Linked DNA regions of Macaca mulatta. The protein of the gene in region 2 interacts with the protein of the main gene of each other region in a pairwise test. Links are inferred from orthologs where the notes say so. Each region holds a gene or a part of one and is shown on either strand. Other genes may lie near its edges.

The links.
Region 1: the proteins of AMOTL2 (region 2) and MFAP1 interact in binary tests that used the Homo sapiens proteins (3 or more experiments, as listed by UniProt). The two-hybrid records come from large-scale screens. The link is inferred for Macaca mulatta from reciprocal best matches to the Homo sapiens genes AMOTL2 and MFAP1.
Region 3: the proteins of AMOTL2 (region 2) and GSTM5 interact in binary tests that used the Homo sapiens proteins (3 or more experiments, as listed by UniProt). The two-hybrid records come from large-scale screens. The link is inferred for Macaca mulatta from reciprocal best matches to the Homo sapiens genes AMOTL2 and GSTM5.
Region 4: the proteins of AMOTL2 (region 2) and THRA interact in binary tests that used the Homo sapiens proteins (3 or more experiments, as listed by UniProt). The two-hybrid records come from large-scale screens. The link is inferred for Macaca mulatta from reciprocal best matches to the Homo sapiens genes AMOTL2 and THRA.
Region 5: the proteins of AMOTL2 (region 2) and BRMS1L interact in binary tests that used the Homo sapiens proteins (3 or more experiments, as listed by UniProt). The two-hybrid records come from large-scale screens. The link is inferred for Macaca mulatta from reciprocal best matches to the Homo sapiens genes AMOTL2 and BRMS1L.
Region 6: the proteins of AMOTL2 (region 2) and ZGPAT interact in binary tests that used the Homo sapiens proteins (3 or more experiments, as listed by UniProt). The two-hybrid records come from large-scale screens. The link is inferred for Macaca mulatta from reciprocal best matches to the Homo sapiens genes AMOTL2 and ZGPAT.
Region 7: the proteins of AMOTL2 (region 2) and SMARCE1 interact in binary tests that used the Homo sapiens proteins (3 or more experiments, as listed by UniProt). The two-hybrid records come from large-scale screens. The link is inferred for Macaca mulatta from reciprocal best matches to the Homo sapiens genes AMOTL2 and SMARCE1.

Annotation. Positions count from the first base shown.
Region 1 is NC_133412.1:21,191,518-21,195,017, reverse strand, and holds part of MFAP1 (microfibrillar-associated protein 1), read left to right. Parts: intron 1-2,378; coding exon 2,379-2,538; intron 2,539-3,500. UniProt on the Homo sapiens protein: Involved in pre-mRNA splicing as a component of the spliceosome.
Region 2 is NC_133407.1:37,408,506-37,412,005, forward strand, and holds part of AMOTL2 (angiomotin-like protein 2), read right to left. Parts: intron 3,370-3,500; exon of another isoform or gene 3,315-3,369; coding exon 3,008-3,314; intron 1,933-3,007; coding exon 1,788-1,932; intron 1,398-1,787; coding exon 1,305-1,397; intron 1-1,304. UniProt on the Homo sapiens protein: Regulates the translocation of phosphorylated SRC to peripheral cell-matrix adhesion sites. Required for proper architecture of actin filaments.
Region 3 is NC_133406.1:130,497,905-130,501,905, reverse strand, and holds the start of GSTM5 (glutathione S-transferase Mu 5), read left to right. Parts: upstream 1-1,201; 5' UTR 1,202-1,275; coding exon 1,276-1,311; intron 1,312-1,598; coding exon 1,599-1,674; intron 1,675-2,105; coding exon 2,106-2,170; intron 2,171-2,478; coding exon 2,479-2,560; intron 2,561-2,658; coding exon 2,659-2,759; intron 2,760-2,923; coding exon of another isoform or gene 2,924-3,001; intron 3,002-3,934; coding exon 3,935-4,001. UniProt on the Homo sapiens protein: Conjugation of reduced glutathione to a wide number of exogenous and endogenous hydrophobic electrophiles.
Region 4 is NC_133421.1:64,420,668-64,424,916, forward strand, and holds the start of THRA (thyroid hormone receptor alpha), read left to right. Parts: upstream 1-1,449; 5' UTR 1,450-1,577; intron 1,578-4,249.
Region 5 is NC_133412.1:108,944,901-108,948,981, reverse strand, and holds the start of BRMS1L (breast cancer metastasis-suppressor 1-like protein), read right to left. Parts: upstream 2,801-4,081; 5' UTR 2,744-2,800; coding exon 2,602-2,743; intron 1-2,601. UniProt on the Homo sapiens protein: Involved in the histone deacetylase (HDAC1)-dependent transcriptional repression activity. When overexpressed in lung cancer cell line that lacks p53/TP53 expression, inhibits cell growth.
Region 6 is NC_133415.1:116,595,173-116,597,532, forward strand, and holds the end of ZGPAT (zinc finger CCCH-type with G patch domain-containing protein), read left to right. Parts: exon of another isoform or gene 1-513; coding exon 514-633; exon of another isoform or gene 634-875; coding exon 876-1,281; intron 1,282-1,497; coding exon 1,498-1,636; 3' UTR 1,637-1,657; downstream 1,658-2,360. Other genes in the region: LIME1 (lck-interacting transmembrane adapter 1), read left to right, coding at 1,658-1,904. UniProt on the Homo sapiens protein: Transcription repressor that specifically binds the 5'-GGAG[GA]A[GA]A-3' consensus sequence. Represses transcription by recruiting the chromatin multiprotein complex NuRD to target promoters.
Region 7 is NC_133421.1:65,022,563-65,026,062, reverse strand, and holds part of SMARCE1 (SWI/SNF-related matrix-associated actin-dependent regulator of chromatin subfamily E member 1), read left to right. Parts: intron 1-2,352; coding exon 2,353-2,457; intron 2,458-3,500. UniProt on the Homo sapiens protein: Involved in transcriptional activation and repression of select genes by chromatin remodeling (alteration of DNA-nucleosome topology).

The DNA.
Region 1 (3,500 bases), on a different chromosome or scaffold from region 2:
GGAGAAGCAGCAAAGTCATACTTTTTGAAAAGGGGCATGCATACTGTGAGGGGAAGCATTTGTGGCACTTAAGTAACCTACACTATGTTAGAGCAGAATCTTTTTTTTTTTTTTTTTGAGATGGAGTTTTGCTTTTCACTCAGGCTAGAGTGAAGTGTCACAATCTCAGCTCACTGTGGCCTCCGCCTCCTGGGTTCAAGCGATTCTCCTGCCTCAGCCTCCCAAGTAGCTGGGATTACAGGCATGTGCCACCACACCTGGCTAATTTTTGTATTTTTAGTAGAGACAGGGTTTCACCATGTTGGTCAGGCTGGTCTCGAACTCATGACCTCAGGTTATCCACCTGCCTCGGCCTCTCAAAGTGCTTGGATTACGGCGTGAGCCACCACGCCCGGCCCAAGCAGAATCATTTCTGAGCTGCATCACTCATTCCTATAAATTATTAGGTATAAGAGGGTAATCCCGGATTACAAAGGAAACCATCAATAGATAACTCTAGGCTGGGCGTGGTGGCTCACGCCGTAATCCGAGCACTTTGGGAGGCTGAGGCAGGCGAATCACTTTAGGCTGGGAGTTCGAGACCAGCCTGGCCAACATGGTGAAAACCTCTCTCTACTAAAATACAAAAATTAGCCGGGTGTGGTGGTGTTTGCATGTTATTCCCGGCTACTTGGAAGGTGGAGGCAAGAGAATCGCTTGAACCCAGGAGGCAGAGGTTGCAGTGAGCTGAGATAGCGCCACTGCACTCCAGCCTGGGTGACAGAGTGACACTCTTATCTGGAAAAAAGAAAAAAAGAAAACTTGCCTCAATATGAGCTACACACAATAAATAGATAACTCCATCCTCAGCCTGTAGTTTCTTTTTTTTTTTTTTTTTTTTTTTGAGACGGAGTCTCACTCTGTCGCCCAAGCTGGAGTGCAGTGGCGCAATCTTGGCCTCCACCCCCTGGGGGTCAAGCAGTTCTGCCTCAGCCTTCCAAGTAGCTGGGACTACAGGCATATGCCACCACACAGCTAATTTTTGTATTTTTAATAGAGGCGTGGTTTCACCATGTTGGCCAGGCTGGCCTTGAACTCCTGACCTCAGGTGATCCACCCACCTCGGCCTCCCAACGTGCTGGGAATACAGGCATGAGCCACCACGCCTGGCCCTCAGCCTGTAGTTTCTAAGGTTTTTATCCTGGACCTGAAGGAGTAGGAGTCCAAGTGCCCTTTAAAATTGTACACAAGGCTGGGCATGGTGGCTCATGCCTATAATCCCAACAATTTAGGAGGCCGAGGTGGGCAGATCACAAGGTCAGGAGTTTGACACCAGCCTGTCCAATATGGTGAAACCCCGTCTGTACTAAAAATACAAAAATTAGCCAGGCATGGTGGTACACGCCTGTAAATCCCAGCTACTCAGGAGGCTGAAGCAGGAGAATCGCCTGAACCTGGGAGGCAGAGGTTGCAGTGAGCCGAGATTGTGCCACTGCATTCCAGCCTGGGCAACAGAATGAGATTCCATCTCAAAAAAATAAAAAATAAAATAAAATTGTACACAAAATTATGTGTGTATATGCATTTTTTTGGAGAAAAGGGATATCACCCCCTCTCTCCCCAACACTGGCTAAAAAGTTACTGCAATCTGGCCGGGCGCAGTGGCTCACGCCTGTAATCCCAGCACTTTGGGAGGCACAGGTGGGCGGATCATGAGGTCAGGAGATCAAGACCATCCTAGTGAACACAGTGAAACCCTGTCTCTACTAAAAATACAAAAAGATTAGCCGGGTGTGGTAGCAGGCGCCTGTAGTCCCAGCTACTTGGGAGGCTGAGGCAGGAGAATGGCGTGAACCCGGGAGGCGGAGCTTGCAGTGAGCCAAGATGGCGCCACTGCACTCCAGCCTGGGCAACAGAGCAAGACTCCGTCACCAAAAAAAAAAAAAAAAAAAAAGTTACTGCAATCTAATTAATGATGGTAATCTTTGGTTTGTGACATGCAAGCACCTATATGATTATGATACACTTACATAAAGGAATACCAGCAAAGCCTTGGACAGTTATTTTAAATTCACTGATTTTTTTTTTTTTTTTTAAGCTAAGAAGACCTTTTAGGGAAAGAGAATTCGTAATGTTGCAAAACCCAGCAATAATAGTATGTCTGAATGTCAAAAGAGCTAGAATCAACTTCTGGAAGTTGGCAATACCTAGTCTGGCAAACATAATGAAGACTAACTCACCCTTTTGTTTATTGAGCTCTTGATCTTGATTCCTAATAGGCAATGACTAGAATTAAAGAAGGTGACTAATACTTGAAATAACATGGGACTGTTATTTTTGATAATTTGGTCTTTCTAAAGCTGTAACAGTACCAATAAATTGTTTTGCTCCCTGGACAGGCTTGAGAAGGAGAAAGCAGAAATTGAACGCATGCGAAACCTGACTGAGGAAGAGAGGAGAGCTGAACTTCGGGCAAATGGCAAAGTCATTACCAACAAAGCCGTTAAGGGCAAATATAAGTTCTTACAGAAGTATTATCACCGGGGTGCCTTCTTCATGGTAAGAAGTGAAAAGAGAGTCAGAAAATTGGGCAGTAGGAATAACTCAGAAACTTTGAATTCTTTTTTCTCTTCAAGAATGTTCTGGAATGTTATTTCCACTTGCCAATGGTCAGCTTTCTCATTTGTTTTTTCCTTCTGAACAATATAAACTCAGAGAAAAGCATCAGCAATTGGATTATAGAAGTAGCATCAACTGTTCTCTCTTTTGGCTCCAACTCTCAAAAAGAGGAAATGATGCAATAGCCTTTTTTTGTTTGTTTGTTTTGAGAGACGGAGTCTTGCTGTCACCCAGGCTGGGGTACGGTAGTGCGATTATAATTCACTGCAACCTTGACCTCCTGGGCTCAAGGGATACACCTGCTTCAGCCTCCAGAGTAGCTGGGACTATAAACATGCACAACCATGCCTGGCACTTTTTTTTTTTTTGCTATTTTTTAAAATTTTTCGTAGAGACCAGGTCTCACTATGTTGCCCAGGCTAGTCTTAGCCTTCTGACCTCAAGCAATCCTTCCACCTCAGCCTCCCAAAGTATTAGGAATACAGGCATGAGCCATTGTCCTCAGCCTTAGATAAATTGATGAAATGAAATAGAGAAGTGATCTGTATAGATAGGGGACGAATTAGGTCCTCCACTTTGTGAAAACCAAACTCTGCAAATAGCTTTACATTAATTCACTTTTGTGTGGTAGAAAGTTCACTTCATTCTGAACTGACAGTACCCAAGAGTAACTAAACAAAAGAATGGTTTATTCTGTAACCATTAGGTGGAGGGCCATCATCTTTGTTTTTCATATAAAGACTTAAGATCAAAATAGCAATCTGTTAATCCTGTATGGTTTATTATAATTTCCTAGTGTTAAAGCAGTTTGTACCAAAAACTAGACTAGCTTTTTCAAGTGCTGTGTGGCAAATTCTAAATATCCCCACTGCAACTGAATTCCTGCCTTTCACTGGAGATGC
Region 2 (3,500 bases):
GGGAAACCCCAGGGCTGCCCCATCCCCTTTCTCCCTCATTCCCTTTGACTCCTTCCCAGAGACCTTAAGCCGCTGCCACCTCACCCCACCCAGCCAGTAGAGACCAGCCTACCTCCTGCCCCACCCTGTCAATTCCTTCAGTGCTGTGTTCCCCCATTCCCTGCCCTAGTCTTTGAACCCTCTTTGAAGGAAGATAGGGGTGCTGCCAGCCAGAGCTAAGTCCTCAAGCTGCTCCTCCATTTCTGCACCCCACACTACTGTTGGTGCCATTCATAGTAGAGTTCCTGTGAAGCCTCAAAGCCACGTTTACCCAGCTACCAACCACTCCCATTCCACTTCTCTGCAAACACCCTGAACGGCAGTAAAGCTCCTAGTAGGAGCTCAATAAATAACTGTTGTTAGTCTCTTCTGATTGCTAGAGCCTCCTGCTGCTGAGCTCAAGGCTCCCTTTGCCACCCACCCCATGTACCTCTTGAACGGCCCAATAACTCCTTCACCTCTGGCTGGCTCTCCACCCCCGCCATCCCCACGGAGCCTCTCTCTCAGGCCACTGGGGCTCCTAATCACCAGTTTCTAGGACCACCCCCCTTGTTCTTTTAAATCTGTGGGAACCTGCTCCTTTCTTAAGCTCACCACTTCTCTCCTGACCTCCCTGCCATGGTACCTTCCGGGGCCTGCTCCCATTCTCACCTGAACATCTGCCAGATGCTCAAAACACATCTGCTAATTCATGAATGGACTAGTCAATGAACTTGCCCATTCTTCAAAGATGCTTAGACCACCCCCTTTAGAATGCATCTGTTGGTTAAGGTCTAGGATCCCATTTTTGGCTGTCTCAAGTGCCTCCACTTAGCTTGCTATGGCCCAGTTCCATCATGCCCCCTGCCTCTCACATTCCCGTTGCACACTCCTGACCTTTCTGCTGCCTGGAACTCCCTGGGAAGCTCTCAGACGACCTTTCCTTCTTCACCTCACCTGTGTTCCGCGTTACCTTGCCTCCCACACTGCCCAATGCACTGCACTGATGGTCAGCACGGAAGCTCAGCAAATCACTGCTCCCTGGCTTTCCCTCTAGTGTCAACTGATCTTCTTAATAGATACACAACTAGATCCTATTCTTCTTTGGAAGCCACTTCTCCCCACCATCCCCAGATCCAGTCTAGTGTTGGGCACACAGTAGGCAGTAAACCTGCTCCTAAAGTACTGCTTTGCAAGGGGGAAGGCCAATCTTCCTGGTCCAGAGGGTGTGCAGCAGTCCCATTGCCTGCACACAGGCCAGGATTCTTAGTGAGGCCCCTACTCACTCTGAGCAAGCAGCTTGGCCACCATGTCCTGACTGCCGGCCTGGGCCTCCTGTGTCTTGCTTGCCAGGCGGCGGTTTGCAGATTCCAATCTCTCTGTTTCAAGGGAAGGAAAGATGTTTTAGTGTCAGGTGAAGCTGCCAGCTTGGGATTTTTCCTGACATCCTATCAAGACGGGGCTGCATCCTCCACATTGGGGATGGGCCATGAGGAAACCCCGGCTCAGCTCAGGGCCCGATGGGAGGGAGCCTCCTCTGTCAGAAGCCATCATCCGGGCCCCACGATGGGAGCTCCCTGAAGGGATCCGAGACCCAGTACATAGAGACAAGCATCTCTCTATCAGGGCAGCTCCCGAGGGTCTCAGCCTGGCTCTCTGAGTTCATCTGCACTTTTAGCAGGTAATAGATTCCCAATTTTTCTCTAGAACAGAGGAAGTAAGCCCTCTGCAGAGGCTCTCCAACCTCCACCTGTGTGACTGGCTCTCACCTCTAAGATCCCGGTTGAAGTCTTGCAGCCTCCTCATTTCACTGTCCATCTTGTTCCTCATGGTCTTCTCCAGGGCCTCACGCTTGGAGGAGGCTCTGGTCAGGCTCTCATGGGCCTCAGAGAGCCGCTGGATTTCGCTTTCCAGCTGCAAGAGGCAGACAGCAGAGCTGAAGGAAGGTGAGAGCTCCTAGGGAGTGATTCCAGGCTGACCCACTACTCTCCATCAGAAAAGGTGACAGATGAGAGGACACCAAGCAGGAGCAAAACCTCCAGGTTTTGGTGGGATGACTATGGCGGGATGATCAGAAGCTTGTAGCCTCCAGAAGTAGACTGGACTGCTGGGACCAGCAAGCAACGGTCCATCGGCTGCCCCAAGGACCAGATGCTGAGTGACCCTAGGGCCAGGTACTTTGGAAGTAGCTGCCTGCAGGGTGACTAAACATAGCTTCCCTGTGCCCAGTGTCCAGAAGGAAACATTCTACTTTTGGCTGGCTTCCACCAAGAAACTGAGTACGGTTGGCCAGAAGTGGGCACCAAAAGACTACAGCCATGTCGGGGTGGTTGGACCTAACTTGGACACCACAGGACAGTCAAGGGAGGCCTGAGGCCATCTGCTAAAACTGAGCCTCAGCAGAAAACTGGTAATCCTTCACTAAAGAAGCAGGCACCAGGTCTAAGCCTGAGCCACCTCTGCCTGGTCCCCCAGGCATCACCGTCCACCCAGAGGGCCAGCTGGGCCCCGGCTGCTCCTCCCACTTGGCTGCTGGCAGGTTCCGCACGTGCTCTTAGCTGGCCTGTGATTCCAACAAGTCTTTCCAAGAGGAGAAGTTTTCTTTTTCGCCAGGGCTGGCCTGGAACAGACTTGCTGTTGTGTGGGGGACACAAAGGGCTCTCTGTGGGAGGTGTCCATGAGAGGGGGTGTGTGCAGGGCAAGGGTGCGAGTGTGCAAGGAGCTGGTGAATGGGCTCTTTCTAATCACCACTGGCCAGCAACTGCTCATGCTCCAGGCCTGCTCTGCCGGCCTCTCGGCTGTTCCCCAGCTGTCTGGAGTCAGCTCAGGAGGGTGCATGAGGGGTGAGGGAGGTGGAGAACAGAGGGATGGGGGAAATCAAGCCAAACAGTTTTCAGGCTCCTCTGCCTCTCCTTGGACTACCCACTCCCCAGGTAGCCCCTCGGGGTCTCTTTCTGGTCTGCCCCTCTGAAACCCCAGCAGGGCCTACCTTCTCAATACGGCCGGCCTTCTCTGCAGAGCTCTCCAGCTCCCTCTGCAGCCGCTCATTGTCCCTCTGCAGCCTGGCATTCTCCCTCAGCATGGCCTCCATCTGGGCCAGGTGGGCACTGCCCGAGGTGGCTGAGGAGGCCTGGGCACTCACTGGCCCCTCCACAGCAGGTGGGTTGAGGGAGCTCAGGGGGCCATGGCCAAGAGCAGCTGGATGTGGGGGAGGGGGGTGCTCCTGGGGTTGCTGCAGGTACTGGTACTGTTGCTGCTGTTGGAGGAACACAGGCGGCACCTGGGCCTGCAGGATCCTGGGAAACAGAAGAGACGGTGCTCAGAGACAGCACAGACCCTTATGGTTCCCACCCGGAGCAGCCCAGAGTCGCCCCATTCCTAGGCATATTGGGAAGATGGTTATTATTCATAACTAATATTTATTAAAATTGCTGCAGATAATTATTCAACCCTCAAGTGGTAGGCAGGGACCAGTGGGGAAG
Region 3 (4,001 bases), on a different chromosome or scaffold from region 2:
CCCCACACCTCCGTGAGGTAGCAGGGGACAAGGTAAGGGTAATCACCTCCGGCACCTGGACCTATTTAGATAAAGTAAATAGACTGAGGCTCCAGAGTAAGGTCTCAGGACCCAGAACTTAGTTATAGATTAAAGAAGTCAATCACTTATGTCTTTAGATGATGCACACTCACTTGTAGGCATATAGCTTAGAAGGTATATATGCTCTGGAAAACTTTGTAATTTTGAGTTGGTCTGGTGGTAATTTCCAGATCTTCTCCCTGTAACCAGTTGCAGAAATAAAACCTCTCTTCCTCTCCAGGTGATCTGCATCTGGTTATTGGGCCTAGAGAAATAGCAGCCTGACCCTCAGTTTGGTCCCGGAAGTTCTTCCACCCTCCCTCGCCTGCCCTCTGTGGCCACTGCACTCACTGCTGCTGTTGCTGTTTTGGTCTATGTGAGGTTCACCTAGTGGACTGGCTGGACATTTCCAGGGGGCACCTCAGATACCTCACCAACTTGCTGGGTCTGATCCTTTAATTTAGATTCATAAATTGTGCCAAAATACGAAGTGGCTACTTTACATAGTACGTAGTCAGATGACCAAAGGACTCAGTACCCGAGGGCACCTAACAGAAAACACAGACCACATTTCCTTTACTCTGACCCATTTCTTGGGGGTCCTTCCCATACCACTGACACCGTTCCTGTGTAGGCGGGGCTAGAGGGGAGACAAAGCCCTCGGAGTAGCTTTCGAATCAGAGGAAGTCCTGCTCTTACAGTGACGGGCTGAATTAAATTCCCAGGTTGGGGCCACCACCTTTTAGTCTGATCCCTGCAGCCCGAGTCTCCCAGAGCCCGCGGGAACTCGGCAGCGGAGAGAAGGCTGAGGGACTCCGCGGGCAGGGAGGAGAAGGGAGAAGAGCTTTTTGCTTCTTTAGGATCTGGCTGGTGTTTGAAGCGCACGGCCAAGTCGCTGTGGACTTAGCAAGTGCTGGATGGACTCGTGGAGCCTCAGGGCGGGTTGGGGAAGCTGGCGAGGGTGATCCCGGCCTTCGGCTTCTGGGCGCCCTGACCTCGCTCCGGGAACCCTCGGGGCTGGGAGGCGGGCGTGGGTGTTACTGATTCCAGCCCCAGGCGCCCTCTCCGCGGCCTCAGAATGGCGCGTTTCAGGGGCGTGGCGGGCCGAGGGGCGGGGTCGCAGCAAGGCCCCTCCTCTCCCCTCCCTGGGTCTCTCATAAAGTCTGAGCCCCGCTCGGCTGAGGCCTGTCTGCAGAATCCGCACCAAGAGGCACCATGCCCATGATCCTGGGGTACTGGGACATCCGCGGGGTGAGCGTGGGTCCGCTGGACGGTGGGACGAGGGCTGTGGAGAAGGGAAGTGGAGGAGGGAAGTGTGGAGCAGCTGAGGGAAGGGCTCTAGAGACCGTTCCTCTTCAGGGCGGTCGCCCTCAGAAGGGCCTGTGCCTGACGCTGTGTGTGTGTCTGGCGGTGGGGGCGGGTAGAGGAGGCGACAGGTTAGTGCAGTGTAGACTGGGGGCTCGACTGGTGCAGAGAAAGTCACCAAGTCAGGGACCCACCATCTCTGACCCGAGCTGCGTGCGTGCCATCTCTCCCAGCTGGCCCACGCCATCCGCCTGCTCCTGGAATACACAGACTCAAACTACGAGGAAAAGAAGTACCGGATGGGGCACGGTAATGGCACCTTCGTGTCCGGGCCCTGCCCACTCCCGCTGAGTTGGCACCAAGCAACCCATGGTGGCCACCTGTGGCTGCCTCTGCAGGCCTCCCCTGCTGGAGCTGCAGGCTGTCCCTTCCCTGAGCCCACCTGAGGGAGCCCTCTGGCCTTGCAAGGCAGAATGCTGGGGCGGGATGCTGGGCCCCCTGTCTGGATAACTGGGATGGGTGTCGCTCAGGGCTTGCCTAAACCCTGGAAGCCTTAGTCGCGTGGGGTCCACAGCCCTCACCGGGATTCTTTCTCCCTTATCCCTGGGATGTGGGACTGAGTGGTCAGGTTCTAGATCCACCTGTCTCAGGGGTCTTGCCACTGGCTCCTTGAGAGGGTCTCGGGGAAGGAGGGCTGGGCTCTGGGGAGGTTTGTTTTTATTTCATCTTCCGCACCACAGCTCCTGACTATGACAGAAGCCAGTGGCTGAATGAAAAATTCAAGCTGGGCCTGGACTTTCCCAATGTAGGTGCAGGGGAAGGGGCGGTTTTGGGGGCAAGTGCAACGTGTCTCTGACCGCATCTCCTCTCCCAGCTTAGAGGGGTTAGGATCCGGAGTCTTCTGCCCAATTCCCTCACTCCTGGCTGTCTACACAGCCCTTCCATGATGTTCTGTGTCCAAGCTCATTCGTCCATATGACAGTATTCTTATTTCAGGCCTGCCATGAGCAGGCACAGTGAGTGCCCGGTCTCCTCTCTGCCCTTGCTCATGGGATGGGGATGCTGGGGGGCCTGGTGGCCCAACTGAGCTTCCCCGGTTTCCCATTCATCCAGCTGCCCTACTTGATTGATGGGACTCACAAGATCACCCAGAGCAACGCCATCCTGCGCTACATTGCCCGCAAGCACAACCTGTGTGAGTGTGGTTGGCTGCAGTGTGTGGGGGGAAGGTGGCCTCCTCCTTGGCTGGATTGGGGTGTGATGCTCAGAGTGAGTGTGTTTTGTGGGTGGCAGGTGGGGAGACAGAAGAGGAGAAGATTCTTGTGGACATTTTGGAGAACCAGCTTATGGACAGCCGCATGGAGATGGTCAGACTCTGCTTTGACCCAAATTTTGTGAGTCCTGCACCCCACTCCCAGTCACCCCTTTCCCTGGCTTCTGGCCCAGAGCAGAGAAGGACTCACAAAGTCAGGCCTGTAGCGGACCCTGGCCTGCTCACTGGAAACGTCTATAGCCTGGTTCTACAAAATATCCACATGAATCATCTCCTCTTCTGAAGAGTCGTGTGGACATTTTGGAGAACCAGATCATGGACAACCAGATGCAACTGGTCATGATCTGCTACAACCCAGAATTTGTGAGTCTCCCCAGTGATCTGCACCTGGCAGAGTTTGGATTTGGGGCCAGGACTCTTGCATTCCTGCACACACTGGTCTTTCCTTAAGTCCTTGGTACCACTCATCCTCCAAGTGCTTTCCCATACTATCAACAGTTATTCTCACGACTCCAATGTCAACAAAAGCAGAGGCAATTCCCAGCAATCTTAGGACACGATCCAGGCATCCCAGGATAGAAATTCAATTCCTAGATGGTAAAGTTCATGTTCAGAATCTCCTTCATCGCCTCTGGCCTCTGTCATGGGTCATTTCTGTCAGCTGGTTCACGTCACTTACCTGCTCCTAGAATATATAGACTCAAGTACAAGATAGAGGAATGTAATGGCACTCTTGAATTGCATCTTCTCAATAGTTTCCAAGTGCTGTCATTGAAATGCACAGGGATCCACACATTTTCATAACAGACAGCTCAGAGCCAGTCAAAGGGTGGCTCTCCCTTCTTCCTTTCAACCTGAATTTCTCATCTCCCTGGAAACTGGTCAATGTCCATGTTTTCTCTTGCCACCGCATTAGAAGGAACTTTCTACTTCTTTCCCTGAGCTCCTGTAGTTCTTTGCATCCTTGATTCTGCCCATGTCTGGGTCCAGAGGTTGCCAGGTGCTCAGGCGCTCCTGGGGCTGACCCAGAGGCCATTGGGAGGACAGTGAGGACAGATTCAGGGACAGCATCTCATTCCTCTCTGCCTTCTGATCACTTCAGATAGGGTCTGGCACCCAGTCAGAGTCTAATAAATGCTGATGTATCCAGTTGAAGCCTGGGCGCTGCCCCAGTTTTAGTTGCGGGGAAGACGGCTGCTTGCCCACGGCCAGCCTGGGCCATCCACAGCCCTGGGGAGGCCATGTCTATGCAGGGAGCTTTTGTCTGAGGGTGGTGACAGCTGTTTTCTGCCTCAGGAGAAACTGAAGCCAAAATACTTGGAGGAACTCCCTGAAAAGCTAAAGCTCTACTCACAGTTTCTGG
Region 4 (4,249 bases), on a different chromosome or scaffold from region 2:
GAGGTACCCTCCCCTCCACCAAGAATTACAAACTCCAGTACCCCCTGTGAAAGAAGTGGCTTCAACAGCACTGAGGATGCAGGTGGCTGATACTAAGACATGAGCAAGGGCAACCCAACTTGGGTAAGCTGTGGGTCAGAATCCCACACTCACCAAGTGATTCTGCCCAGTATAAACTGGGCGATTAGCCGAGCAGCTCCCCCTAACACACACACACTCGCATACACACACACACCCCTCCCCAAGAGCAGACTGTGTAGCCAGAGCCCCACCCTGAGAGCCGTGGGAAGGCCGTGGCCCCCGCTGGTAAAACTGGGCTAATGACAGCAGGGGAACCGGCGGGGCCAGGGGGGTGCTGGGGTAATTAGGGCTCAGCCTGGCGCTAGGAGATCCTGAGATGAAAGGTGCTCTGGCGTCACTGGGTTGGTTTTATGTCCATGAATGCAGGTGTGTGGTGTGTGTATGTGTGTGCTGGGGGTGGGGCTGGCATGGTGGAGACCTCTCCTTTGGGTTGGGTTAGGGGGTCCATTTGTACGCAGCCCACCGTCTTCCTTAGGTTGACTCTGGTACCATTTGGATTTTCGTGGGAGCAAACATGGGGGGAAATACCATCACCGGGGAGCTAGGAATTGAGGGGGTATGGCAGCTCTTGTCCCCTCCCCAGCGCAGGAGAGGGAGCAGATTGTTGGGGAAATGGCTGGTGACAGAGAATAGAAAGAGCCTATATGGAGAAGGGTGACGTTGGAAAGGGGAGGCAGTGGTTCGGTATTGATGTTAGAAATGAGAGGGGAGGGAGGTAACGGGGAATGAGCCCCCACAAGGATTAAAAACGTAAGATGATTGAAGTTAAAAGGACATCAGGGGTCACCTGCCCAGCCTTCGCACCTGAAGCTTGAGGAAGCTCTGCCCCCGACAGCAGTGGCGATTTGTCAAGGTCACACAGTGAGTTACTGGCGGAGAAGGGACCCGAACACCCAAACAAACTCTACACCTGCAAGCATTTGGTGTTTAGACTTTCTCCCCCATGTATAAGGTGCAGGCGGCTCGTCGATACTTCCTCCTCCACCCCCACGGTGCACACCCGAAAACCCCCCAATTCTCCCGGCAAGCAAAGGCTATTTTTTAATGACATCTTTTCCAAAATATGTCACCAAGTACCCACTCCTGCGGGAGCCGCCCGGGCGGGGGAGGGCGAGTCAGAGCGGGGCGGGGCAGAAGCGGCCGAGGGGCGGCCGGGCCTCTGGCGGGGGTCCCGGGGCGCGGCAGGGGGCGGGGGGCGGGGGCGGGCGGCGGCGAGGCGGCCTGCAGGGAGCAGCCGCGAGCCGGCCGGGCGCGCCGAGCCCGAGCCCCAGCCGGAGCGGGGCGGGGGAGGGAGGAGCCAGAGCGGCCGCCGCCTCTGCCGGAGGAGCCGCGGGGCCGCCACACTCGCCCCCCGCCCCCCCCGCGCTCACTCGCACTCACACCCGGGCGCAGGAGGCGGGCGGCCCGGGCCCCACCGGCCCCCCATGGACGCCCCCAGCACGGGGCGCTGAGACCCCCGCGTCGCTGCCCAGCCCGGTCCAGCGCGCCACGCCGAGGTAAGGAGGAGGGAGCGAGGGCATTAATATGCAAATGCCTTGCGATTGATTATGCAAAGCCGCGGGGCTCCGTGGCCAGCTCCCAGGCGGGCTGGGGGCGCCCAGGGGGTACCCGCTGCCAGCCTCAGCCTTTCCCGGCACCCCAGTGACCCTGTCACGAGCCCGGGAGCGTCAACTGACGCCCTGGGGAAGGGAGGTGTTGTAGGAGGTCGGTGGGCCCCGGGGTTCGCAGGCGGAGATGGCGTCCGAGCCTCCCCCTCGAGGGCCCGCCCGGCCTCTGTCCGGCCAGTCTGCTGCGCATTCCCGGGCCGGGCCCCGTTGCCGGCCGCCGGAGCTCCCCCCGCCCGCCGCGCCGCGGTTTGTTTACGGTGCGCCGGAGGCCTGCCCCCCCCAGCCCCCACCCCTAGCCTCTGAGGCCGAGTGGCCTTTGCAAAGCTGCCTCCAGCTGCGGAGGGCAGTATGAGTGCGGTGGCGGTGGTGGGCTTGCACGGGTCCTGGGAGAGGGAAGTTCCCCCCCTCGCTTCACCCGCCTCCCAGTTGAGCATGGCTGTCTGGTTGCAACACTCCTAATTGCAAAAACGCGGCTGTTGGGGGGAATGTGTGTGTGGAGGGGGTGTACTTGATGGTGCCTAGATGATTAGGAGAGTTGCTGGCTGGGGAGGACAGGGAGAAATGGACCTGTTTGTGTACCCCACCTTGTTTCCCTCCCCTTGCAACGTGTCTCTGGTGCCCCTTCTGCATGTGGGGCCCTCCCTTGTCCAGCGTGAAAGAAAGGCCTGGGGGATGACAGGGGCAATTGAAAGAACCACCGTTCCAGGGGTGGGGGTGGGGGACACAGAAGGAAAGACAGTGAGGTGGGAGCCTGCCCCTCAGTGCTGCCTTTGGCTCCAGGAGGGGGAGGGGATGAAGGGGGCTGTTGTCCAAAATAAGGGGGGGAAGCAAAAGTGACATGCAGACACAGAGATATGTCCACACAGACAGCCACATGCACACCCAGGGACACCCAGGCGGACTCAAGGACAGGAGCTACTGGACACACCCACATGGGGACAAGGGAAGAGGCAGGCTGCTGCTGCACCGTGGAGCTCAGACGGGTGGGATATACCCACGGGAGACCAAGAGCATGGGGACCGACCCATGCACATACCCACCCACACACAGGGTCACACGGAGATGCTGTCACACACTGGGGCAAGGAGGAGTTGCTGTCACCCACACATAAAAAGTCACTGTCACATGCATGCATGCACACAGAGCAGTTGCACACAGCCGCACAATTACAAAAGACCCTGTCACTCACAGGCACACACGTGCTCGCATGAGCCCAGTCACACAGACATCATTGCTTGCCGTGACAGTCGCTATCACTCAGTCAGATGCAAACACAGTTACACATCAACACATGTATACACAACTTAGCAACAAGTATTTTCCTGGACTCTTACTGTGGAACTCTGAGGTTCTGCAGGCAACAAAACCCTTGCTCCCAAGAATATTAAATTTGGCTGTATGAAAAGGTGTTCCTGCGTAATGGTGCAAAGCCTGCATTCCTAATGACATCTTCTTGGTCTCTATCGATTGAGATACCACCCTACTAGACAGTGAGCTCTTAGAGACCTGGGAGAATCACTTAAAGAGCTCTGGATGCCACCCAGAGCCTAGCACAAGGGCTGCTCTGTAAATACTTGTGAGTTGATTGACTGTGGAACCTGCAGACACAGGTGCACTCATTTGCACATGGTCCCCTGAACTAAGGTACAGAACGAGTTCATGAGGCCCAGGTCCCCACAGTTGCAGGTCCACACCAACAGTCGTGTCCACACAACCCCAGATGCACACAACTGGAGCCTGTGCAGCCAAGCACACACTTAGATGCACACAATCACAGACTTTTCCCCTTCAGCTTCCTCCTCCCTTTTTCCTCTAGGCTCAGCCACTGTGCGGGAATGGGCTTTTTTTTTTTTTTTCTTTTTTTTCTTTCTTTCTTTTAGAGGGACAGAGAAACAAGAGCAAAGACAGTGGGTTCAGGGGGGTTCCAGAGGGCCGAGTCATGGGCTCAAAGCAGTATCCAGTGACTTCTAGAAGCTGGGATTCTCTTGACTGCTGGGGGAGGGGAGAGCTGCTCTTCTCCCTACCCTAAAAGCTCTGGGGTGTCTAACTGCCCCTGCTCTGAGTCATTTGCCTGGGCCTTTCCTGGGAACAGTCAGTCACCCCCAGCTGAGTTCCTGCATCCCACCTTGAGTCTGGCCCTTTTTCCCACCTGGACCCTTCTGTCCAAACTTGGAAGCTTTCCTTAAGAGGCCATCGGCTGACGAGTGTCTGTATGAGTGATGTGTATTTTTGACTTGGAATTTCTCTCTAACTCTGTCTCTCTTTCTGTTGTTCTGTCTTGCAGTGTCTGATTCTCCCTCCCTCTCTCCTTTTTCCTCTGCCAGTCTGTAACTCTCTCTCGCCCTGTCGCTACCCCCCGTCTACCCCTGTCCTTGTCTCAGAGCTGGGGACTGGCAGCAATGTTCTTCATACTTTTCCAGTTGTTAATACCCAAGCTCCGCCCCTCGGCCCCCCCTGTGCAGCCTCTGGGGTCAGCTTGAGGTTGGGGTGGGGGGCGGGGGGCTCAGCTGGCTGCTCAGGACTTCCTGCACTTCCTTAGTGCTGCAGCTGTGGCCAGCAAG
Region 5 (4,081 bases), on a different chromosome or scaffold from region 2:
TCCCATATAGTCTAGATGTTCTCCTTTCTCTATATTCCCCACTTTCGAAATCTCACCTACTTTCAAGGCAAGGCAGATGACTTACAAATTATTCTCCCCTTCCATATCAGGCAGGTTCCAATGTCACACTTGCATTTGTCAGTTGGGCATTCTTAAACATACTGCCATCACTCCAAAAGCAACATGTCGGCCAGGCAGGGTGGTTCACACCTGTAATCCTAACACTTTGGGAGGCCAAGGCGGGCGGATAACCTGAGGTCAGGAGTTCGAGACCATCCTGGCCAAGATGGTGAAACACAAAAATTATCTGGGCATGGTGGCGCATACCTGTAATCCCAGCTACTCTGGAGGCTGAGGCAGGAGAATCGCTTGAACCCCGGAGGTGGAGGTTGCAGTGAGCTGAGATCATGCCACTGCACTTCAGCCTGGGCGACAGAGTGAGACTCTGTCTCAAAAAAAAAAAAAAAAAAAGCAACATAACATGTCTGGCCGGGCATGGTGGCTCACATCTGTAATCCCAGCACTTTGGGATGCCGAGGCAGGTGGATCGCCTGAGCAGGAGTTCAAGACCAGCCTGACCAATACAGTGAAACCCCGTCTCTACTAAAAACACAAAAAATTAGCCGGGCATTGGCGGTGGGCACCTGTAATCCCAGCTACTCAGGAGGCTGAGGCAGGAGAATTGCTTGAACCCCGGAGGCAAAGGTTGCAGTGAGCCAAGATGGCGCCATTGCACTCCAGCCTGGGTGCCAAGAGCAAAACTCCTTCTCCCAAAAAAAAAAAAGGCCGGTTACGGTAGCTCACGCCTGTAATCCCAGCACATTAGGAGATCGAGGCGGGTGGATCACGAGGTCAAGAGTTTGAGACCAGCCTGGCCAATATGGAGAAACTCTGTCTCTACTAAAAATACAAAAAGTTAGCTTGGTGTGGTAGTGTGTGCCTGTAATCACAGCTATTCGGGAGGCTGAGGCAGGAGAATTGCTTGAACCTGGGAGGTGGAGGTTGCAGTGAGCCAAGATCATGCCATTGCACTCCAGGCTGGGCAACAGAGCGAGACTCCGTTTCAAAGAGAAAAAAAAAAAAAAAAAAGCAACATGTCTGAAATACTCTTATCTTTCACCTTCATCTTAAATCTTTCACTTTTCTATTTCTGTTGATGCTACCGCCACTCTCCTTGTATCTTGGTTTTTCTCTTACCTTCAATCCTAAACTTGCATTCATCAATCCTGTTTTGTGCTTTCTTTGAAATCCCTCACATCTATATTTCCTGTTCCTTTCCGACCTCAAGTTCTTCTCCCAAGGTTTTCACGCTTTTGAATAAGCCCTAAACTCTGGCCCTTGTACTTTTCCTTACATTCCTCTCCCTATAGGGATACCCACAACCCCAACCCAAATTCTACTCATTCTTCAAGATAATTAAGGTAATCCCACCTTCTTCAGCTAGCCTTTGTGACCACCACCCAATACTGAAACGATTTCCTCTGCCTCTGAATTCCCACAGCAATATTTAGTTAAGCATTCATTTGGCATTTAATCAAGTGGTGATGTATGACAGCTCTTTAAGAGAGCCCAGATAATAACTATTTATCCCTCATATTGAGTACTACCCAGTGCTGCACAAAGAAGTCACTCATAAATATTTTTGGATGGCTGATTTATTGATTGAAATTATATCCTTCCATGGAGATTTGCTTTGCAAGGGAAACATGAAAAGAGGGCATGTGGATGATACTAGGCTGTCATAAACCTATCATCAATGCTTGACCAAAATCAGGCCAAGACAAAGAAGTCAGTCTCATCTCCATCATTTCAATCGAAGGAAAATAATCCCGGTAATCACAAATTCCATTTCACTTTGGAATAAACATTCCTAAAAGTTTGCAAAATTTATTTGTGGTGTTAATCTGCCCTCCTTCTCCCCCACCCCAACATAATTTAAAACAGCCCAAAGTTAGAAAAAAATTGAAGGGAAGAAAAGACTTGGAGAATTTTCAACGCTGCCAAAACTCAGCCAATTTATAAGCATATGAAGACGCAAAATGAGCCCGAATGTTGGTCCCTTCCTCTAGGTCTTGCAAACTTCAGGGAGCTACTGAACGGGACAGCTCTCAAGTTAGCCCCCGAAAAGGGACTGACGTAAAAGTGCTCACCGGCAAGTTGACTTGGAAACTGAGGTTAATTACTAAGCCGACACTCGGCCCCGGCAACCCACTAGCGCTGAGAAGTGAGGGTTGCAAAGCAGAAAATAGGGAAAGAGGTCGGTGGGTTGGGGAGAGGAGGCATTTCCAGTTTGTCTGCTGTGGGAAGTTCTCCGCCTCGGCCGGTCGCTCCAGAGCACCACCGGGGGCAGGACTGCGCCGCGTTCGGGAGCTGGGCAAGCCCAGGCCCGCCCCGCCCCGCCCCGCCGCCGAGACCCATCATGAGCCAGACAGCGCCCAGCGACCGGACCGGGTGCAGCCCAGGGCCCAGAGCCAGTCTCCGCCCCTTCCCTCTGTCCCCGCCCCGCTTTCCCAGCAGGACGCAGCCGCCTGGCGTGCAGAGAGCGGCCTGTCGCGCGCTGGGCGCGGGGACTCAGGGTCCCAGCCCTGCTGGGTCGCGCACCTGAGCTATCTCCATCCTCGGAGACCGACGAACTCTCAGTGTCCTCGTCCTCGGAGCTGCTCCCCTCATTTTCGGCGTAGTCCACCTCCATCTCATCGTGATGGTTGGTCTCCTTCTTATCCCCTCGGGAATGGACCGGCATTTTCAAGCCGCGCCGTCGCTTCCCACTCCCGGCGCCCAGCCCGGCCACCGCCGCTTCAATGAAGGGCGCGCGGAACGCCCCGACCCACCCAGCGGCCGAGCCTGCTCGCCCCCTTGGCTCCTCCCCGCCCCCGGCCCGGGCCTCACAACCTAACCCGCAGGCTCTGCGATGGGAGCTCTGCCATTGGCGGAGGCGGTCCACCGAGCCAGAGGGCGGGGCTTGCCCTGCTCTGGTACGATTGGTTGTCCGTAATTACGACGCGGCCTTCCGATGCTTGCCGGGAGTTGTGGTTCGTAGGGCTCAGACCTGCAGGGGCTGCACCCTTCCATGCCTCGGCAGCCCTGATCACTTCTTCTTTCTGGACTTCAAGTCCCACAAGGCACGAAAGCTGACCCTCTGGATCGCAGTTTATAAACTAAACAGAAACAGATTGTGCGAATTTAGTGTGTATTTATCTATTTCCCGCCAAGTGATTGTTTGACCTGCCTGACTATCCGAGATGTTACTGTCAGATGTGAAAGTGTCTTTTGCCTGAAAGAATCTTTGCCTGCTCATTGAGCCGGGGGACCTGGCAAACCGTCTCTTTTACTAAGTACCTTTATTACCTACCACTAATAAACTGTTTTATTTAATTATTAACTATAGACGATAACTTGCAGTTTCTATGTTGCGCAAAAATCTTTATTCTTGAAACTTTTACAATACGGAAAGTAAGTTTTATATTGGCATTTTCAATCTAGTATTTTTTGCATTTATTTTTTACCAGATGCAGTCGCAAAATGTCATCAGTCCTGATTTAACTTTAGTTTTCAATGAAAAATACATACTTAGTGAGATGTACTTTCTCAAAAAAAGGGTACATAGACAAGGAAGAATCAGTGACTCATTAACTGACCACTTATCCTCTGTATCAGGTATCTTGGTAAGCTCTTTACATGAGTTTAGTGAGTTTAAGTCTCACTTTAATAGCCCTGAGTTAGGTGTCATTGTTATTCCCATTTTACAGATAAGGAAACTTCATTTGCAGACCAATCTTAAAACTATATTTTACCCCTTATAACGACAGGGTTTCTTCTTGAAGTGGCAATTTGCTATTGAAAAATAGTACAGGCCGGCAGGGTGGCTAACGCCTGTAGTCCCCACATTTTAGGAGGCCGAGGCAAGCAGATCACTTGAGGTCAGGAGTTCGAGACCAGCCTGGCCAACATGGTGAAACCCAATCTCCAGAGGCTGAGGTGAGAGAATCACTTGAACACAGGAGGTCAAGGTTGCAGTGAGCTGACATCACACCACTGCACTCCAGCCTAGGTGACAGAGTGAGACCCTGTCTCCTGTCTC
Region 6 (2,360 bases), on a different chromosome or scaffold from region 2:
AGGTGGTGTCCAGACAGCCAGGGTGGAAGCTTCGGGAATGGGAACTAGTGGCCGGTGGCCAGCTCTCCAGAGGGGTGTGTGTATACGTGTGTGTGTATATGCGGGAGGTCACCTGACCCAAGCATGGTGGGCTGAGTCCAGGAGGGGTCTGCATGTTGGAGGTGTACCCAGGGATCAGTGATGGTGGTTTCTGAAGCCCCAAGTCCCTGGTGAAGGAGGACCAAACCAAGGACTCTGTGAGGGCAGGTGAGGAGCTCATGGCCTTGCGAAGGTGGAGAAGGGCAAGGGCAGGAGAGGGCTGTGGAGGAGGGGTCACGGTGCAGGAGGCCGTGGGGACTGCCATGCACTCTGCCTGGTGTCACATGCCCACAGCAGCCTCAGTGACAGAGCACGGAGCCCCAGAGGTGGGGTGTTGGGGCTCTGCCCAGGATCTGAGCTCATTGGTCAGAGCCCAGGTCACCATGCATAGTCCTCTGCCCTGGCCGGCCACTGCCCTCTGTCCTTCTCTTGCAGTGGTGGGGTCGGACACTGTGGACTCCGGGACCTGCAGCTCTGCCTTTGCCGGCTGGGAGGTGCACACGCGAGGCATAGGCTCCAGACTCCTCACCAAGATGGGCTACGAGTTTGGCAAGGGTGAGTACAAGCAGCCCTGGAGAAGTGGGCAGAGGCTGCAGCATAGCCCAGGTCCCGCAGCCATCAGATTCCCCGGGGGTCCCGCAGCCATCAGGTTCCCGGGGCTCCCGCAGCCGTCACGTTCCCGGGGGTCCCGCAGCCGTCACGTTCCCGGGGGTCCCGCAGCCGTCACGTTCCCGGGGGTCCCGCAGCCATCAGGTTCCCAGCGTCCGGCAGCCACAGCACTGCCGTTCCTGTCTCAGGTTTGGGCCGACACGCAGATGGTCGGGTGGAGCCCATCCATGCTGTAGTGTTGCCACGAGGGAAGTCGCTGGACCAGTGTGTGGAGACGCTGCAGAAGCGGACCAGGGTTGGCAAGGCTGGCACCAACAAGCCCCCCAGGTGCCGGGGAAGAGGGGCCCGGCCTGGGGGCCGCCCACCCCCTCGGAATGTGTTTGACTTCCTCAATGAAAAGCTGCAAGGCCAGGCTCCTGGGGCCCTAGAGGCCGGGGCAGCCCCGGCGGGGAGGAGGAGCAAGGACATGTACCATGCCAGCAAGAGCGCCAAGCGGGCGCTGAGCCTGCGGCTCTTCCAGACCGAGGAGAAGATCGAGCGAACCCAGCGGGACATCAGGAGCATCCAGGAGGCTCTCACCCGCAACGCTGGCCGGTAGGTGTGGGGCCCGGCTCAGGGCAGAGGGAAACCCAGGGTGGCCCTGCCCCCAGGACACCTGCGGGAGGTCACCTGACCCAAGCATGTCAGGCTGAGTCCAGGAGGGGTCTGCGTGTTGGAGGACAGGCAGTGGGCACACGGGCAGTGGACATGGCAGCCTGGGGCTGGCGGCATGGCCGGGGACCCCACACTGACTGGTGAGCCTCTCCGCAGGCATAGCGTGGCGTCAGCCCAGCTGCAGGAGAAGCTGGCAGGAGCCCAGCGCCAGCTGGGGCAGCTCCGGGCTCAGGAAGCAGGCCTGCAGCAGGAGCAGAGGAAAGCAGACACCCACAAGAAGATGACTGAGTTCTAGAGAACCCTGCAAGCACTATGGATGAAGTGTGGGACCCCGGCACAGGCTGCCCTCAGAAAGACCAGTGTTGCCCAAGGAGGGGCCGGCCTGCTGGCCTGGGGCGTGCGGACCCTGCTGAGTGGAGACGGGGCTGCAGGGTCCTGTCTGGACACTTTCTTGCCCACCTGCCAGTGTCTTGGGCATTTCCTTGGCAAGGACATTAAAGTGATTTCATCACAGTGTCATTCAGTGGAGATCAGCTGGCTGCAGGGTCTCTGGGGAGAGAAGGGTCTGTGCAGGGCTGTGGTGAGCGGTGGGCTGGGCTGGAGGGGCCTAGGAGGCCAGCATTCTCCCTTCTCTCCCTTCTCTGTCCAAGGCAGATTGGAGGCCAGGGTGCCCGCCAGGCTGCCTGACACCCACAGATGGGTGGAGCTCAGTGCTGCTCCAGCAGGCAAGACGGGCCAGCAGGCGAGACGGGTGGGAGGACTGTGGCCCACCACGTGGGGTACTCCTGGTGAGGCAGGCAGACCTGGCCCTGTGAGTTTGGGGGTTCTGTGCCAGCTCTGCTCAGGTCTTCATGTGTGGAGGGGATGTGAGTTAGGCTGTCAGAACAGTGCGGGCTCGAGGCACACACGTTTCATCTAGGCTTCGGGCGGGGCGCAGCAGGTGGGTGAGGCTGCGGTGGTGGCTGCTGCCCAGGGTGGGAGGCTCAGGGGAGGCGCTCGGCAACAGGAGCAGGAAGTGA
Region 7 (3,500 bases), on a different chromosome or scaffold from region 2:
TCAGGTCTTGCTGAAATGGCTTCCTTGTTGGTTTTTTGGGAGGGGGGTTTTGTTTGTTTTTTTAAAAACACTGTTAACATGACCAAATTCTACAAAATTAGTTCTTTAATATTAATCCTTCCTTCCATACCCCCTACTACCTAAATTTCAGGCTAGTCTACTTTTCACTACTAATTAGGTCCTTGTGTAATTTTGTTTTCTCCGCTAGAAAACTATTCATATTTACTAACCCTCAGATATATGTTTTAGTTACATTTATCAACAATTTGTTTTTCTTTAGTGAGATACTTTTAAAAAGAGATACTGTACCATATGTTCTCATTTCAATTTATATTATATACAGGCTCTAAAGTTAATTCCAGTAGACCGTAAAGTCCTGTGCTTGGTTTCTTTTCTTTCTTAAATCAAAGAACATTTGTTATGACCATCTCCATGGCATTCCGCTAGTGGCTATACAGGTGGAGCTGAACAATTGAGATTCTGACCTCAAAGAGCTAACCATGTACTTCAGCTTTGGAAATGGTATAATTATAATGTTTTGCTTTCCATTTTTTTTTTTTAGTTCCCTTATTTTTATAACATTATTGCCTCATAATGTTGAACAGTGATTCTTATTATTTATGCAAACTTTGAAGGTGTCATTTTGACATAAATACTGCCTCTGACAATGTATCATATCTTGAGGACAAACTTGATTTTTTGAGATTAAAATATTTCAAAAATGAAGTGTCCCCTTATAACTTACTATGCGTAAAAAGGATTTTTTTTGGCCTTTCTTTAGTTATATTTTTGTGCCATTATAATTTCACGTTAACACACAAAATATAGAAAACTAGGGATTAAAACATCCAACAGAATGGATACTAAATTAATTATTCTCCTTCCTTCTTTCCATTACTCCTACCACCACCACCATCACCACCACTACCAACACTATCACCACTATCACCTCCGCCACCCAAATGTACCACTCCAAGTAATATACACTTCTTTCATGCCTTTGATACTTCATCTGTGTTTTGCCTACTTAAATATGCTTAATTTGCGTCTTTTCTAACTGTATAGACTAGAAATTGATCAGCCGTTCTCTTTTCTCCTAAAGAGTATCAAATGTAATATCTGCTTAAATGTCTTTCTTTTGGGTACTAAGGATATGTGCAGCGACATGTTTTAGGAAATTGTGTTTATTTTGTAACAGCTACAGCTTAGTTGGAATGTGTTAAGTGTATTTTACATTATACAGTTAAGGACCGATATTGTTAATTGCATGTAAAAATGAAATTGTCACATATTTTGATTGAGCTTTACAAGGTAAAATACCCGAATTTTGGTCTCTCTCTACTATATTCTTTCTATACATTATGCCTTGGTTCTCATGAACATTGAGTGTCATTGTATTAGCCCCAAGGCCACTGCTATATAAGAGCCCATTTGTGATTACATCAACACATAATTCACAAAAACCAAGAGTTCTGTTGCTGAAATGAGCAGTTGTGTTTTGAAAGGGTGAGAGCTATCAGGAAACTAGATGAAAAAAGAAAATTCAAGTCTATCAACTAGAAAAGTAGATCACATTGAGACTAAATGCAGAAATGTTTTCATGATTGACCTGTGGAAGATGGATCAAAGAAGAGATGGAAGAGAAATCCTATAAAAGAATGACTGGGTTAAAAAGATCAGATAGTACCCCAGAATGAAATCCATGCATTTCTTACAAGTCTTTGTTTTAAATCATGTATGTGACATCCATCAAATCCAGCATATGTTCTTTTCAATTGACAAATCCTGGCTTCCCGATTTGAGTCTCTTCTCATTTCTCACATTATATAAAATGATTTAAAACTGTCTTTGAAATCAGATCCATTTCTTGTTTTTGTTTTTAGTAGATGAATACATTGGTGGCATCCACATGTCAAATAAATTGTGTTTTGTTTTGCATGTAGTGTTTTCAGAGTTCTAGTTTATCACACTTTAAGCCTTCCTATCTCAGTCTTCATATATTGCTAAGTTGTTATATCCTGTTGTTGACCATAAAGTAAATCCTGAATGTTTTAAACACTTCAGTGTATTGCTTTCCTCCAGAAACACAACACACATTCACAGTCACACAAACACCCCCAGTCCCTGCAAAAAAGAAAGAGAAAAACAACCAAAAGACACTGCAGACAGGTTTCTCAATGAAAGAAAAATATTTAATTTCCTCAGTGGAAAAAAAGAACAATTACAACACATCATTGCTTGTTTAAATTCAGGTTGCTTTTGCATGCCATATGCAGATCATTTTTCATTTCTGTGTTTTCCTCGTTTGAGCTCATTTCTCATTCGTGTTTTTGTCTCATTTGTTTCCATCAGCAAATGCCCAGCACACCAGGGTTTGTGGGATACAATCCATACAGTCATCTCGCCTACAACAACTACAGGCTGGGAGGGAACCCGGGCACCAACAGCCGGGTCACGGTAGGAGAATCAACTATTACAGCATCCGGCAAACAACTGGAATTGACCAGAAATGCCTTCAGAATTAGGTCTTTTTGAATCATAAGCACAGCCATTTAAAAAAATTTTTTTAACCTAGCTTTTTGACTATTTTCAACATTCATTGTAGCATCTCACACTGAAAAAATAAATAGTGAGATCTGGAATGTATATGGAAGAAAAGAAAAATCCATTCTGTTTGGTGGTTGGTAGGGATAAAGCCTTGAGCACTTGATGCTTATACTGTATGTAAACAAACAGAATTTCTTCTGGTAAAAATACCCTTTTTGGCATAAAGAGTATTTTTCGTTTTTATAAGGTGATTGGCATTAGTCTCAAGGATTCAGTTTCTAGTAAAGGCTGGGCTTTCAGACCTGGCTTTTTCAGGGCTGGAACGCTTTTGGCTGGTATACCAGTTTGAATCCCTACCCATAGTTATTTGTCTTTTGGATTTAATAGTTGACCTTCTAACTGAGACTCATTGCTCTACAGTGAAAAAGAGAAAAACGTTTTAATGTCACCTCAAAGAAATGCAGAATGAAGATTGAATGAAATTAATTTGAAGTATCAAACTAGATACGTACAACGAGAAGTGCATTTCTAATCCTTAGTATAAGAGATATGATTTCTGAAACTTAGGATGTTCCATTTAAATGATCAGCCTAAGATTTCAAAATTAGAATCATCTTAAATTTCATTCAAAAAAGTTTAAGTGCCAAAAAAGCCAATAATTATAAAAATGACTTACTAAAGATAAAAAATCCAAAAGTCAAATACTACATTGAAATGTAGTGTTGCTGAGAATTTATACAACCCAGAATGGCTGTAAAGTTTTTAATATCTGGTTTTTGTTTGCTGTATTCGTAAATAACAAGTGCCTTCTATTAATGTAACTTCAAAAAAGCCCTCTCACCCTGTAGTCAAGCTAGAACTGAAAGTTTGTAGCTATCAAATGAATGTCTATCTTGATAAGCATATTGCTTAGCTTGATAGGTTTTGTTTGTCTAAATTTTTCATTGTTTCTG